Linked DNA regions of Elephas maximus indicus. Each later gene encodes a partner of the first gene's protein in a complex. Links are inferred from orthologs where the notes say so. Each region holds a gene or a part of one and is shown in the gene's direction. Other genes may lie near its edges.

Evidence for each region.
Region 2: the proteins of ETFB (region 1) and ETFA are in contact, whole or in part, in a crystal structure (PDB 2A1U), measured with the Homo sapiens proteins. The link is inferred for Elephas maximus indicus from reciprocal best matches to the Homo sapiens genes ETFB and ETFA. Residues at the interface, in NP_001976.1 of Homo sapiens: Ile14, Tyr16, Val18, Ile20, Val22, Val29, Thr31, Phe41, Leu102, Arg106, Lys124, Gln125, Ile127, Asp128, Asp129, Asp130, Cys131, Asn132, Gln133, Gln136, Met137, Ala139, Gly140, Phe141, Asp143, Trp144, Pro145, Gln146, Thr148, Phe149; in NP_000117.1 of Homo sapiens: Glu27, Leu88, Pro89, Glu90, Ser113, Ala114, Phe115, Lys117, Asn118, Pro121, Arg122, Ala124, Ala125, Lys126, Glu128, Val129, Ala130, Pro131, Ile132, Ser133, Arg146, Thr147, Ile148, Tyr149, Ala150, Gly151, Asn152, Ala153, Leu154, Cys155.

What each region holds. Positions count from the first base shown.
Region 1 is NC_064829.1:96,868,832-96,876,106, forward strand, and holds the start of ETFB (electron transfer flavoprotein subunit beta), read left to right. Parts: upstream 1-4,268; 5' UTR 4,269-4,328; coding exon 4,329-4,385; intron 4,386-7,275. UniProt on the Homo sapiens protein: Heterodimeric electron transfer flavoprotein that accepts electrons from several mitochondrial dehydrogenases, including acyl-CoA dehydrogenases, glutaryl-CoA and sarcosine dehydrogenase.
Region 2 is NC_064831.1:67,197,087-67,203,948, forward strand, and holds the start of ETFA (electron transfer flavoprotein subunit alpha, mitochondrial), read left to right. Parts: upstream 1-3,850; 5' UTR 3,851-3,896; coding exon of another isoform or gene 3,897-3,935; intron 3,936-4,268; 5' UTR 4,269-4,308; coding exon 4,309-4,458; intron 4,459-6,862. UniProt on the Homo sapiens protein: Heterodimeric electron transfer flavoprotein that accepts electrons from several mitochondrial dehydrogenases, including acyl-CoA dehydrogenases, glutaryl-CoA and sarcosine dehydrogenase.

The sequences.
Region 1 (7,275 bases):
TACAATGTGTGGAGTAGAATGAGGCCCACCTGGGGACCAGGGCATGTGATGGAAAGGAGAGAATGAACCAGGCAGATGCAGGGGCAGGAGGAACAGGTCCAAGGGCTTCGTGGAGTGAAGGGCAGGGAGAGGGCAAGAATAGTGGGTGTAGCCCAATGAAGTGGGTGGAAGGGCGGGGCCATCCCAGTTTGGTAGAAGATGCTGAGTTCACTTAGGTTGTGGTTGAGCTTGAGGGGTCTGAGAGAGCCAGGAGCAGATGAGGCTGGAGTCTAGGGCTCAGGAGTGAGATCTCCAGGTCTTTCTTCTGAGGCACATCTGGATGGACTTGAACCTCCAACTTTTCAGTTACCCAGCACATTAACTGTTGCACGACCCAGAGACTCCAGTAATCCAGACAGACAGGACAAATGGCTGGAGATGCGGTTTTAGTTGCTGTCAGAACATAAATGGTTCCTGAAACTGCAGGAGTGAGTAAGCTCACCTGGTAAGAAGGTGCAGGATGGAGCCTCAAGGAACAGGAGTATTTAGAAGTGGAGGGGAGGAGGAGCATGTATGAAGGAACTTCGAGGCCACAGACCAGGAGAGTTTGTGTGGTGCCTCCAAAGTCAAAGACAGAGAAGTTTCTAGAAGAAGGAAATGATCTACCATGGCATGCCCCTCAGGCTGCTAGGACAGAGGGAGGGAAACTTTATCCCTTTAAATGGCTGCTGGGGACAAAGGTTCTGGAACTCCTGCTGCCTCACAGAGAGCCAGTCTCCCTCCCCCCACCCCTCTGGGCTTGGTGTCTAAGAAACCCTGGGGAACCGAGTCTTAGTCACTTAGGTGGGTGGGGTGTGTGTGGGGGATGGGGTGCTGGAGGGCCTGAATGGGGATCCCACTGGGGGAGGTCTATGGGACCTAAGTAGTTTCCTAAGCAGAAAGCCTAAGAGAAGGTAGTCTTGGGGGAAGGGAGTCTCTGGTCCCCAGAAAGGGTTGCAGGGAGGGGTCTGGCACATGAGAGGACCTGAGGCAGAGGCGCCAGGGTCGCCAGGAATAAGAATTCAGGTAGGGGCGGATTATTCAATAGGCAAAGTAAGCCAGTGTTTACCTTGCTTATCAGATCATCTGTAGTAATCAGTGTCATATTTTTTCACCACATCAAAGATTCTGCTTCTAGGTATGGCTGGTATCTGTCTCTCTCTCAACTCCACAGCACCCTCCTACAGAATCAAAGCCTTTTTTAAAATTTATAATCCCTGACAGGGACACATTATCCAGTAAGCAAGGTGAACACAGGCTTACCTGTGCTTATTTACTAATCCGTAGGAAAATCTGGTGGTGTAGTGGTTAAGAGCTAGGGCTGCTAATCAAAAGGTGGGCAGTGCGAATCCACCAGGTGCTCCTTGGAAACTCTATGGGACAGTTCTACTCTGTCCTATAGGGTTGCTGTCAATTGGAATGGACTGGACGGCCACGGGTTTGGCTTTTTTAAAAAAAAAAAACAAACATGTTAAATTGTTAACTACAGATTAGTAAATAGGCACAAATAAGCCAGTGTTTACCTTGTTTATTGGGTAACCCGCCCCTAGTTCCAGGCAGGGAGCCTTGCCAGTGCCAGTAGAAGCCCGTGCCGTCGCGTGGATTCCGACTCATAGGGACCCTATAGGGCAGAGTAGAACTGCCCCATAGAGTTTCCAAGGAGTGCCTGGCGGATTTGAACTGCCGACCCTTTGGTTAGCAGCCGTAGCACTTAACCACTACACCACCAGGGTTTCCTTAGGAGCCTTAGGGTTTCCCAGTTAGGAGGACAAAAAGGCTTGAGGGAAGGAGTCTCCAGGTCCCCAAGCAGGGATGCTGGGGGAGGAGTTTGGGGGGATGAAAGGTGTGTCGGGGGAAGGAAGACACTGGGGGAGATGGCCGGGGAGACAGGAGGTCCTGAAGCCAGGGCCTAGAGCAGGAGGGGTGTTGGCCAATGCGACCTATGTGGCCCCCTGGCAGCAGCCTCCCTGGCATGGGGGTGAAGCGGAGTCTTCAGAGCGGAGGTACCGTGCTCAGCTTCTTAGCCAACATCCTCATGGTGCTCTCCACTGTCACCAACTACTGGACCCGCTACCCCGACGGCCACAGCGGCTTGTGGAAGGAGTGTAATAGCGGCGGCTGTTCCACCATCCCATGCCAGAGTGAGGCCCCGCCCGCGCAGGCGTCAGACCAGGCGTCCGACCCTCCCCCTCCCCCAGACATACAGTACCCAACGCAGACCACTGCAGGCGTCCTCTCGTGACACACCCCTCCGGGCACAACAGCTGGACATGTCATGAGAAACCCCACCACCACCACCCCTTCCAACCCAACCTCAGACCCAGCTGCCCCTCCATAATTGAGGCCACCACGAACCACCCTCCCCAACTTCTGAACTTGTTTCCCTATCACATTAACTACCTGTCGCGACATTAACCGCCGGTCATGAGATAACCTTCAGGTCTCCATTCAGATGCCTGACTCCAGGTTGGCAGAGCGGGGCTCCCAGCCCAAGACTGACTGGTGGGTAGGGGTGTGTGGCTGTCGCGACTGGGGAGGTGCCGGCACACTGATGCGGCCCCCTCTTCCTAGCCATGCTGGCGATGACAGGCGCGTGCATGGTGCTGGCTGCGGGTTCTGGCTTCGTGAGCATGGCCATGGGGCTGCGCATTTTGTGCCACCAGGGCGACTCGCTGCGCGGCCAGACGACGAGCGCCATCTTCTTCCTCAGCGGTGAGACTGCAGCCGAGGGTGGGCCTGGGGAAAGTGGGGACAGGGCCGAGGTGGGGGGGTATCAGGAGCTGGGCTGGGAGCCGAGGGGAGGGGCTGAAGCCCGAGAAAATGGGACGGGACCCGAGATGACTTACGGGCTGGGTTCAGAGGGGAGGATGTGGAAGGGGGCAGGGCCAGGGGTGTGGCGGGGAGGAGAGGTGTCGGCTCTGAAGTCTAGGGGTCGGGGCTTGGAACGATGGGCAGGGCTAGGGAGGAGCAGGTTCGGCCAGAAGGCCAGGAGGAGGGGCGGGTCAGAAGAGGGCGGAGACTGGAACGGAGCGGAGGTCTGGGGCGTGGCTTCAGTGCAACCTCTCCCGGGGTGTGGTGGCCAGGGTTGCTGCTGCTGATCGCAATGACAGGCTACACGGTGAAGGATGTGTGGAAGTCGGACGTCTTCTTCTCCTGGTCCTATTTTTCGGGGTGGCTGGCTTTACCCTTTTCTATTCTCGCGGGTAACCGGGACGGTGGGGTAGAGGAGACTGCCCAAAGGACCCTTCACCCAACCACCCACCCATCCAGAGACTCCCTTGCCGTCCTCCCAGAAAATCCCACAGCTATTTACCTGGACCCGCCCCCGACCCCGACCCCAAGACATTCCACCCTCGATTCCCCCAGACCCTCCAGAGATGCCCTCAGAGCCCCAAAACCCCAGGCCCCGGGGCCCACCTTCCTCTGCTCCCCTCCGGCCAGGCTTCTGCTTTCTGCTGGCGGACATGATCGTTCAGAGCACCGACGCCATCAGTGGATTCCCTGTGTGCCTGTGACCGCGGCCTGCCTGGGGCAGAATAAAGTTACAGCTCCCGCCGTAGCGGCTCCGCGCGTCTTTCTGGGGACGTGGGGACACGGACACGGGGGACATGAAAGTGGGGGGACGCAGGACCTGAGAACATGAGTACAGAGGGAACGTGGAGACACGGGGGAACACGGACGTGGAGGCAGGAACACAGTGGGCAAGGGGCATGGGTTTGGAGGGGAAAGGGGACACTTGGGGTCGTAAGGGGACACGGGCATATGGGGAGGCTGTGGGGACACGAAGTTCGGGGAGACGCGGATATGATGGGACATAAAGGCATGTGCATGGAGGGATGGGTAGATACGGGCAGGGGGGACATGGAGGCCTGAAGATACAGACACGAGATGGCATGGGAACGCCGGCACTGGGTGGGCGTGGGGACACGGATATGGCGACGCGGGGAGCAAGAAAGAAGGAGAAAAACTGGGGGTGGGGGGATAAGGGAGATCCAGTAACATTAGGAAGAGTCTAGGACGACGGAGAGAATTCCCAGTCCTGAAGTGCTGCGCTCGCAGACACGACTTTCACCTAGTTCCCGGCCTCGCCCCCTTCACAAAGCTCTTTCCTTTGGGTCCGCGTCCTATTGGTCCGCATCCACGCCCTCCTCTTCTAGCCTTCTGATTGGTCCTCAGTGGGGGGTGGAGGGCCCCACGGCAGTTGATTGGCTGGCGAAGCGGTGCGCAAGCGTAGAATGGGACGGGGCCGGGGCTTCGGAGCTTTGACTGAGGTTTCGAACTGTTCCAGCCAGCGGCGGTGATACTGGAAGATGGCGGAGCTGCGCGCGCTCGTGGGTGTCAAGAGGGTCATCGACTTCGCCGTGAAGGTGACCGGGCCCCCTCTCCCACCTCCCTGAGCCCCGCCGCCGTGTGCGTCTGGGATCGCGATTGCACACTCTCTCGGGGTCTTCTCGTAACCTTTGACCTCTGCCGCTCTTCCCCCACACGTCAGTCTTATCTGGGGGCAAAGGTCAAGGACTGTGAGGTTCTGACATCGATCCCTCTTCACGCAGACCCGGGCCTCTCTGAGATCATGACCCCGTTTCCCCCTTCCTCCCCCTATCCCCCGGTTTCCCCAGTTCTCCAACGATTTATAACTGTATACAGGGCAAGTTGCCTTCCATATTGTCTGGTGGGGAGTCATCGTCCATGTTTAACAAGGAGAAACTGAGGCACAGAGAGGTCACTTACCTAGGGACAAGTACAGGCCAGATTCCAATCCAGTTCACTCTGACTCCTCACCCCAACTCGTGCTTTGCACACAAGCCAAGCATTAACCCACTAGGCTGCATTCCCTACAAAATTTACTATTTCGGTCCCCAAAGTGCTCTCTAATGGAGGTCATACAGGGCCCTGTGAGAATCCAGAGGGTATCTTTACCCGACGCAGCCACAGGGTGAGTGAGAAGGCTTGAGCTAGAAAGAGAGAGGAAAAAAAAGTGTTTTTTAGAGATGAAAATTCAATTCAAGGAAGTTGCAGCCAACCTGACCGAGCTGGTTGTTGTTAGCTGCTATTGAGTCAGCCCCTGACTCATGGAGACCCTATGTACGGTGAGATTGGACTGTTGTGATCCATCAGATTTTCAATGGTTGATTTTTGGAAGTAGATCACTAGATCTTTCTTCCTACCCTGTCTTCCTCCGGAAACTCCGCTGAAACCTGTTCAGCATCGTAGCAACATACAAGTTTCACTGACAGATGGGTGGTGGCTGTGCTTGAGGTGCATTGGCTGGGAATCGAACGCGGATCTCCTGCATGGAAGACGAGAATGCTATCACTGAACCACAATGTCCTTTTAATTTCTTCATGGAAGGGATAGGGGGCAGCATCTCTGAAGACCTGGCTTGTCCCCAGAGGGAAGCGTGTGTGGACAGAGGTGAATCAGACACAGTCCCTCACGCTAGTTTCTCTCAATACTTGACCTAAAGCAGGTTGAAAGCGGTGACTGTTTGTCTGTGTCTCTACGCCATCAGACTGGGAGCTCACCTCCATGCCCTCAGCTTCTCTCAGCACAGGGCCTGCATCTTCGAGGCCTCAGAATGGATAAGACTGTGGCCACGAAGTTGATGCTGATATTGTCCCTACTTATGTGAGGAGTGGGCTGGGAAGGAGGGGACAGGAGACAGACCTAGGCCTGAAAACTTCAGTGCTCATAGCAGCTAATGTTTAGAGGGTCCTTACTAGGTACCTGGGTGTCACAAATGGTTTGCAGTCAACCGTTGGCCTAAAGGTTGGCACTTCGAACTCACCCAGTGGTGCTCCAGAAGAAAGGCCTGATCACCTGCTTCTGTAAAGATTCCACCCTCAACCTTCTGAAGCAGTTCTGCTCTGTAACACGTGGGGTCACCACGAGTAGAAACCGACCGATGGCAACAGGTTTAGTTTTGGTACTGTGTGCCAGGCAGTGTTCTCAGTCCTCTGTAGAGATTAACTTCTCAATATAACAAACAAACAAACAAAAACATTGCCGTCAAGTCAACTCTGACTCCTAGCAACCGCAAGTGTGTCAGAGTAGACCTGTGCTCTGTAGGGTTTTCAATGGCCGATTTTCTGAAGTAGATTGCCAGGCCTTTCTTCTGAGGTGCCTCTGGGCAGACTCTAACCTCCATCCTTTCTGTTAGCCACGTGTATTAACCATTTGCGCCACTCAGGAACTCCGTCTGGATATTATTAATCCCATTATACAGGTGAGAGAACTGAGGCTAGGGAGACTCTGTTACTTGCCAGATACCCGGGCTAAGGCAGTCAGGATTTAAATCCAGGCAAGTCTGGCTCTAGGGCCTATGCTTTTCACATCTGCACCCTGCTGCCCCTTGGCCTAATGACATCTCTGGCAGCATTGGACAGGATTGCTGTCTCCAGGCTTTTAGAGACACCCTCCTCTTGGGCTGCTGGGACCCGATTCTCCTGGTTTCCTCCTACCTTTTTGTTCCTTGGGGTCCCTCCTTTGGGCCCCCAGAGCCCCTTGTGCCTCCCTTTGCCCGTGTGGAAGCTGCGCTCTCCCTGGGCTGAGATGTCTGTGGTTGTATCCATCTCCTTCATGAGACTGAGGGCAGGCCGGGTTTGACTCCACTCTGGGTCCCAGCATAGCCCAGCACAGGGCCTGGCATGTGGGTGCCTCCTGTGTGTTCAAGGAGAGAGCAAAGAGGAAGTGTGAAGGCACCATTGGATCCGCTCCTGCCCTTTCCCAAGTGTTGGTGCTGCGTGCCCCTCTACAGTGTCCCCGGGCTCCTGCTCCTAGATCCTGTCTTTTACCCTGAATGTGCCTGTGAATGGCCTTTTCTGAACAAATAAATGATTCAAGCACTGCCAGCTACTAACCGGGTCAGGCCCTGGGTACAAACACATACCTTCTTCTCAATCCTCTGCCCCATCCCTCCTGGCCTCTGCATCTCACTTCTCTTTCCTCATGGCCCCAGCAGCTCAGGCCTCCTCCTCTCTTACTTGAACCCTCACCCCAGCCACCTCACTGGCCTCCAGTCTCTCATGTCCAATCCATTCCCTACCAGCCTCAGGGGTCTTCTATGCCCAGAGCTGACCCTACCCCCTCCCCTTCTCACAGCACTGCCATGGCTCCCTGGTACCCTCAGGACAAAGTCCCAACCCCTCAGCCTGGTGTTTGAGACCCTTTGTGGTCCTGCCTCTGCCCCTTCTCAGTCAGTCCCCTCTGTCCCTCTTTCACCCTCTGTGCTTCCAGAACACCAACCTGCTTCCTTTC
Region 2 (6,862 bases), on another chromosome or scaffold:
ATGTTAAATGTCAAACAATAAAATAAAGTGAATAACAACCTAAGACTCAAGCTGGCCCCTGGGATACAATGAAATGTTTGTATTGTGACACAAACGGCAAAGACCAGAGGGATGAGGAGGAGGGAGAGATCAGTGCAGGCCAAGGGCCCTGTGAAGTCTGCATACATAGGCAAATATGTTCATCCATCCATGCATTCATTCATTTATTCATTCACAAAGTACATACAGAGTTCTGATATGGACCAGACATTGTTCTAGGTAGCAGGGATACAATAGTGAACAGTACAAAGTCCCTGCTCTGAAAAATAAAACAGGGTAAGGGGATGGAAAAAGGAGGAAGGGGATAGCTGTGGTGGTAGGGGAAAGCTTCTACGAGGTGGTGGTATTTGAGCTGAGACCTGACTGAAGACTAGGAGCAAACCATATAGAGGATCTGGTGGAAAAGCTTTCCACATAGTGGGAACAGCAAGTGCAAAGGCCCTGAGGCAAGATCAGGCTTCTATATTTGAGGACTAGTAGGACACGGAAGGCCCCTAGGTGGCACAAACAGTTTGTGCTCAATGTCTAAGCTAAAGATTGGGAGTTTGAACCCACCCAACAGCACTATGGAAGAAAGACCTGGAGATGATCTGCTTCTGTTAAGATTATAGCCAAGAAATGTTCTACATTCGACTTTGGTGAGTAGCATCTGGGGTCTTAAAATCCTGTGAGTGGCCATCTAGGATACTCCACTGGTCTCGCCCCTTTGGGAGCAAGTAAGAATGAAGAAAACTAAAGATACAAGGGAAAGGTTAGTCCAAAGGATTAATGGGCCACGACTACCATGGCTTCGACCAGACTGAGTCCAGTACAACTAGATGGTGCTCAGCTACCACCACTGACTGCTCTGACAGGGATCACAATAGAGGGTCCCAGACAGAGCTGGAGAAAAATGTAGGAAAAGATTGTAACTCAAAAAGAAAGTCCAGACTTGCTGGCCTGACAGAGACTGGAGAAACCCTGAGAATATGGCCACTGGACACCCTTTCAGCTCAGCAATGAAGTCACTCCTGAGGTTCACCCTTCAGCCAAAGACTGGACAGGCCCATGGAACAAAACGAGACTAAAGGGGCAAGCCAGCCTTGGGGCAAGGACTAGAAGGCAGGAGAGGACAGGAAAGCTGGTAGTAGGGAGCCCAGGATTGAGAAGGGAAAGTGTCGACATGTCATGGGATTATTAACCAACGTCATAAAACAATATGTGTACTAACTGTTTAATGAGAAACTAGTTTGTTCTGTAAACCTTCTTCTAAAGGACAAAAAAAAAAAAAAAAAAGATTATAGCCAAGAAAACCCTATGGAGCAGTTCTACTCTGTAACACAGTGAGAACCAACAACAACAACAGGAGTTGAAGAAAAAGGAAGGAAAGAGGAAATGAATTGGAGTGCTAGGCAGGGGCCAGAGCAAGGTGAGCTTTGAAGCCATGCCAAGAGCTTTGACTTTCTTTTTTCCCAACGTAACGAGGGGGTTTTGAGCAGGAAATGATGAGGTATGATTTATGTATTCAGAACATCACTGGTTGCTCTGAGGCGCATAGACTGTAGAGACAAATGTGGAAGCTAAGATACCAGCTAAGAGGCTGTTGCAATAATTCCCGCGAGAGATGATGGCATCTTGGACTAGGGTTGAAGCAGCAAAAAGTGGCAAGAGGAGGTCAAATTTGAGGTATTTTTGGAGGTAGAGCCAACAGGATTTTTTTTTTTTTTTAATTCAACAAGATTTGCTGGTGGATTTACTGTAGTGTATTTTGGTTTATGTGGCAACGGGTTGGCCACTGTGGTCATCAGAGCTGCCGGCTGAGGCTGAGGAGAATTTAGAATAGATAAGGAGAAAGGAGGAGTCCCTGGGTGGTACAAATGGTTAACATGCTCTTGGCAGTTCGAATTCACCCACAGACACCTCGGAAAGAAAGCCTGGCAATCTACTTCTGAAAAATCAGCCATGGAAAACCCTATGGAGCACAGTTCTACTCCGACACACATGTGGTTGCCATGAGTCAGAATCCACTCAATGGCAACAGATAAGGAGGAAGGAGACAATGAGTATCAGTAGTTGCAGCAGCCTGGGGGTTATAGTTTATTCCACTAACCCTTCCTCTTCTAAGTTTCCACTAGAAAGAGAGGCCTGCCAGAATCCTGGGAGCTGCTCCTGAAACTGGCCTGTAAAGACAAAAGAGGACAGTGAGGTGTTTTTCCAAATAGGCTGAAGTCAGTCTTCAAGGGGTGACTACTTCCTCCCACCCTCTCTTCCTTCCTTTCCAATTTCATCAAAGTTTCACACTCACTCACTGAACATCCACAAACATAAACCAGATATTTAACACCAGGGTTCCTGCCACGAAGCAGCTAGTACCTGAGAGGTAGAGACAGATCACAAAATACGTACAGGGAAAATAATAGCAATGTTGTAGTCTGCACTTCTCTGGCACTTTCCCCACTTGTAACATCCCTGGGGTGCATCTCTTGTGTGCCCAAGAAACAGATCTGGTCAGTTGTCACAGGCTTTCCAATTTTTGGGCTCTTTGTCTACCCTGGCCCTGTTCTGCTAGAAACCACCATGTCCTATGGGCAACGGGCCTCTGCTGGCCACAGCTGCTGCTGATTCACTGGAACCTCTGGGGTGCCAAAGCTGCCCAGCGTGGGTGGGGGAGCTTCTCTCCCCTTTCGTGTTTTGCTTTGTCATAGGTGTGGGGGCAGGGAAGGAGGTTAGCTTGTATCCCAATTTTTAGCATGTTTTTTAGTAAAATATCCCTTTCAGTTTTTACTTAAAGTACTCTTTCTTCTTCCTTGCACTTATAGGACTCAAATTTGAGTTCAGTGGGGAGCTGGGTTGGGAGGCAAATGCAGTGATAAACATAATACTGAATTGCCCCTCCCGGTATCCCACATACAGATTTACTGGTGGGTCCCAAAGCCCTCGACCACCACACGAGCGCCAACATGTCTGAAGTGGATACAACTTATGCTCAAGTTGGGTTCCCAACTCCTTAGTCATTTCATGGTCCTCCCCTCTTTTTGACTACGCACGCAGTTCCTTGTTCCAGAATCCAGCTCAAATATCACCAACTCTGTGAACCCTCATCTCTTTTTCTTACTCCTCTTCCTCACATAATAGAAATTATATACTTATTTGTATTTTTCCTCCAGAGTCTGTGAAGTCCCCAAGGGCAGGACAACACCTTATGCATCCTTTTATTATATTCCTCTCACCTAGATGTCCCTGGAGAAGGACACCATGCTTGGGAGAGGTCAGCGAAAAAGAGGGAGACCCATGGATTGACACAGGTGGTTGCAACAATGGGCTCCAGTATAACAACGATCATGAGGATGACGCAGGACTGTGCAGTGTTTTGTTCTGTTGCATATAGGGTCGCTGCGGGTCAGAACCCACTCGACGGCACTACCACCACCACCACCTAGAAAACTGCTTAGCACATTACAGCCACAGAGTCGATAACTGTGAATAAATGAATGAGAGAATGAATGAATAGAGTGAGTGGGGTGGACTTCATCCTGAGGCCTGGGAACCCAGGAGAGTAACATCATCAGTTCAGTAGTAAAGTTCGCTGGAACAAGGCTGCCCACAGTGGGGCTGCGAGGCAGACCGCGCCGGCTTCCCTCCGCCGTTCAGCCGCCTCGCAGAGCCTCCCAGCCAACGGCCTCACCTTTACCCTACTCCCGAGTCCCGCCCCACCTTTCCGCCGTCCCCATTGGCTGCGCACCGCCCAATGGGCGCTCGCTCGCAATCGCTCGTCTCGCGAGACTTGGAGTGACTGGCGGCGGCGGCGGTGCTGTGGCTGCCAGGCGGGGGGCTGCCGTGAGGCCGAGGCTGCGGCGGGGAGGACGGTCGCAGACACCATGTTCCGAGCGGCAGCTCCTGGGCAGCTCCGGCGGGCGGTGAGTGCAGTCGTGGAGGCCGAGCTCGGTGACGATCCCACCAAAACCTGTCGTCCCAGTGAGGGTCTTGGAGAAGGTCACCGGCTCCGACAGGCCCGACTGGCCCTGTGGCAGGCAGGCCTATCCTGACCTGGAGCTCGGTGCCGAGGCCCAAGGCTCTGGGACTGGGGCTGGCCCCTGATCCTTAGGGGCCGCTAGCTCGGGCACAGGTCAGAGGTCGGGGGTCAGGGTGACCCCGAGTAGTGAACTTGCGCTCCTGCTGCCCCTCCTCCTTCCGTCCCGCCCTCTCCCCAGTCCCCCTTTCCACCCTTAGGTCTCTCTCCCTTCTGCCAGGCGTCCTGGGTGCTCCACGCTCGGCGGGGTGCGGGCAGCGATGCCCCTAGAAAATCTTTCCCCGAAGGAACAAAACGTCGCTGCGGGGAGGCCCTCCTGGGAGAGTTTAAAGCCTGGACTCGGCCTGGAAGCTGACACGTCTGGAAGAATTAAAATGTCTCCACTGGGCGCATTGTGGCTGCTGGGTCAGGTGCGGGGGGAGGGGGCGTGGACGCGCGCTCCGGCCAGTGGGGCAGGGCTGGTTTTGGGTGATTGGATGTGCAAAACCAATAATCCACTTCAACGGCTTTAGCCAATTTTGAAAGGGGGAGCGTCCTTTTTGTACTGCAGGCTGACCTGCTTTTAAACTAGTAGATTGTTGGTTAAACAGCCAGGGAACTTGGTAGTGGTAGGTTTTGGGTGCTTTGAATAGTGAACATTTCTCCCTGCATTCTGTGAGAGGGGCTGAGAGAAAATATATTTTTGTCCTTATCTTACGAGAGGACAGTATTGGAGATTGACCAATTACAAGTAACAATAGTTTATATTGTGGATTCTGTAGAGTTTCTCATTGACGCTTAGGTTAAATGAGAAACTAGATGGCTAAACTTAGGTCAGAAACTTCCCTGATGTTTTTTATTTTTTGGAGGGTTCGGGGAAGGGGAGCATATTTTCCCTGAGACATAGCTAGTGATCTTTCTAGATGTCTGTAAACTCTTTTCTAGTAGTTAATCTTTGCTCCTTAAAAAGATCCTAACTCCCTTTCTTCTAAAAAGTTCAAACTTACATCCTTCAGGTTAGTGTCCTCTCTTTCCCTGAGGGGATTTTTTTTTTTTTCCCCTCAGAGGATATAAACATAAACAAGTTAAAGTCGTGGATTTGGGAAAATTCCAGGAATCATAGACTCTTGGAAGCAGTAATTGGAAGGTGGTTTTGTGGACAGGTTGGAAGTCTGGTATATGTGAACTGATACTTTTGGTGGAGAGAATTTAGGACTCAGTGATCTTGTAGAGCTAACAGAATAAATGGAATCATTAGTTTATGTAATTATCTTATTATGTACACAGTTTCCCAATATGCATAGATAGTATTTCCACATTTTTATTGTTGTTTTCTAAAGACTTTGACCTTGACTTATTTTTAAAATTTGAAGTCAGGCTAAGGTGGCTGCTGTAAAGTCATTAAGTACTGATGAATGATTTGGATAAGTGTATGAAGAATGACGAGAACGTTTCCAAAACAGGACACACAAATACACATACACATATTTAGCTTTTTTGTTTTGATATAGTTTCAAACTTACAGAAAAGTTGCAAGAATAGTACAAAGACTTCTTAAAACTCTTCATAGGGTTTCACCAGTTAACAGTGTGACACATTTGCTTTATACATGTATACATTTTTTTTCTGAACCATTTGAGGGTATGTTACAGACGTGCCCCTTTACTCCCCAAAATTTTTTAGTATGTATTTTGTAAGAACAAGGAGGTTCATTTACTACAATTTAATGATCAACATCAGGAAGTGTTTAACAATGATACAATATTATCTAATCTACAGTCATTTAAAAATTATGTCCATTGTCTCAATATGGGTTTGTCTTATGTTCCTTCTGATTAGATTCAGGTTATGTATTTTTGGCAGGACTATCACAGAAGTGATGTTATGCTCTCAATGCATCATGTTAGGAGGCACAATATGTTGGGTTTATCCTATCTTTGGTGAAGTTAACTTTAGTCACTTGACTAAAGTGGAGTTCACCAGGTTTCACCACTGTAAAGTTAGTATTCTTCCTTTGTTACTTTTAAGTAATTTGTAGGCAATCCTTGGGTGGTACAAATGGTAAATGTACTAGACTGCTAAGGTTGGCGGTTTGTGTCCACCCAGAGGTGCCTCGGAAGAAAGCCCTGGCAGTCTACTTCAGAAAAACCAGCCGTTGAAAACCCTGAGGAGCACAGTTCTACTCTGACACCATGGGGTTGCTGTAAGTTGGGATGGCCTGGACTACTGGATAGCAACTGGTTTATCCTGAAACTACGTAACTATCGGAGCCGTGGTGCCACAATGGTTAAGCACTCAGCTGCTAACTGAAAAGTCGGCAGTTCAAACCCACCTACCAGTGGCTGTGTTGGAGAAAAGACCTTTCAATCTGCTCCTGTAAAGATTTCAGCCTAGGAAACCCTATGGGACAGTTCTACTCTGTCCTACAGGGTTGCTATGAGTTGGAATCAACTCGATGGCGCACTACAACATGTAGCTATCCTGTTTCTTATCATACTTTCACCCACTAGTGTTAGCATCAGTTGATCATTCTTGCCTGAGAAATCATTACTATGATGGCCGTAAGATGGCGACTTTCTAACCCCATTTTTCTTTCTACATTTATTAATTAGCATTGTACTATAAAGAAGAATATCCCCTTCTCTCTGTTATTCATTCATTCATAGATCCTTATTTTGTTTAGTAGGTTATCCTCCATGCTCAAATTGTCCCGTATTTGTAAAGTGGGAGCTCTTTCAATTTGGCTCCTGCTTTATATATTTATGATGTCATAAAGTCGAAATAGTCAGAATATCAGTTGCCATTGAGTTGATTCCAACTCATGGCGACCCCGTG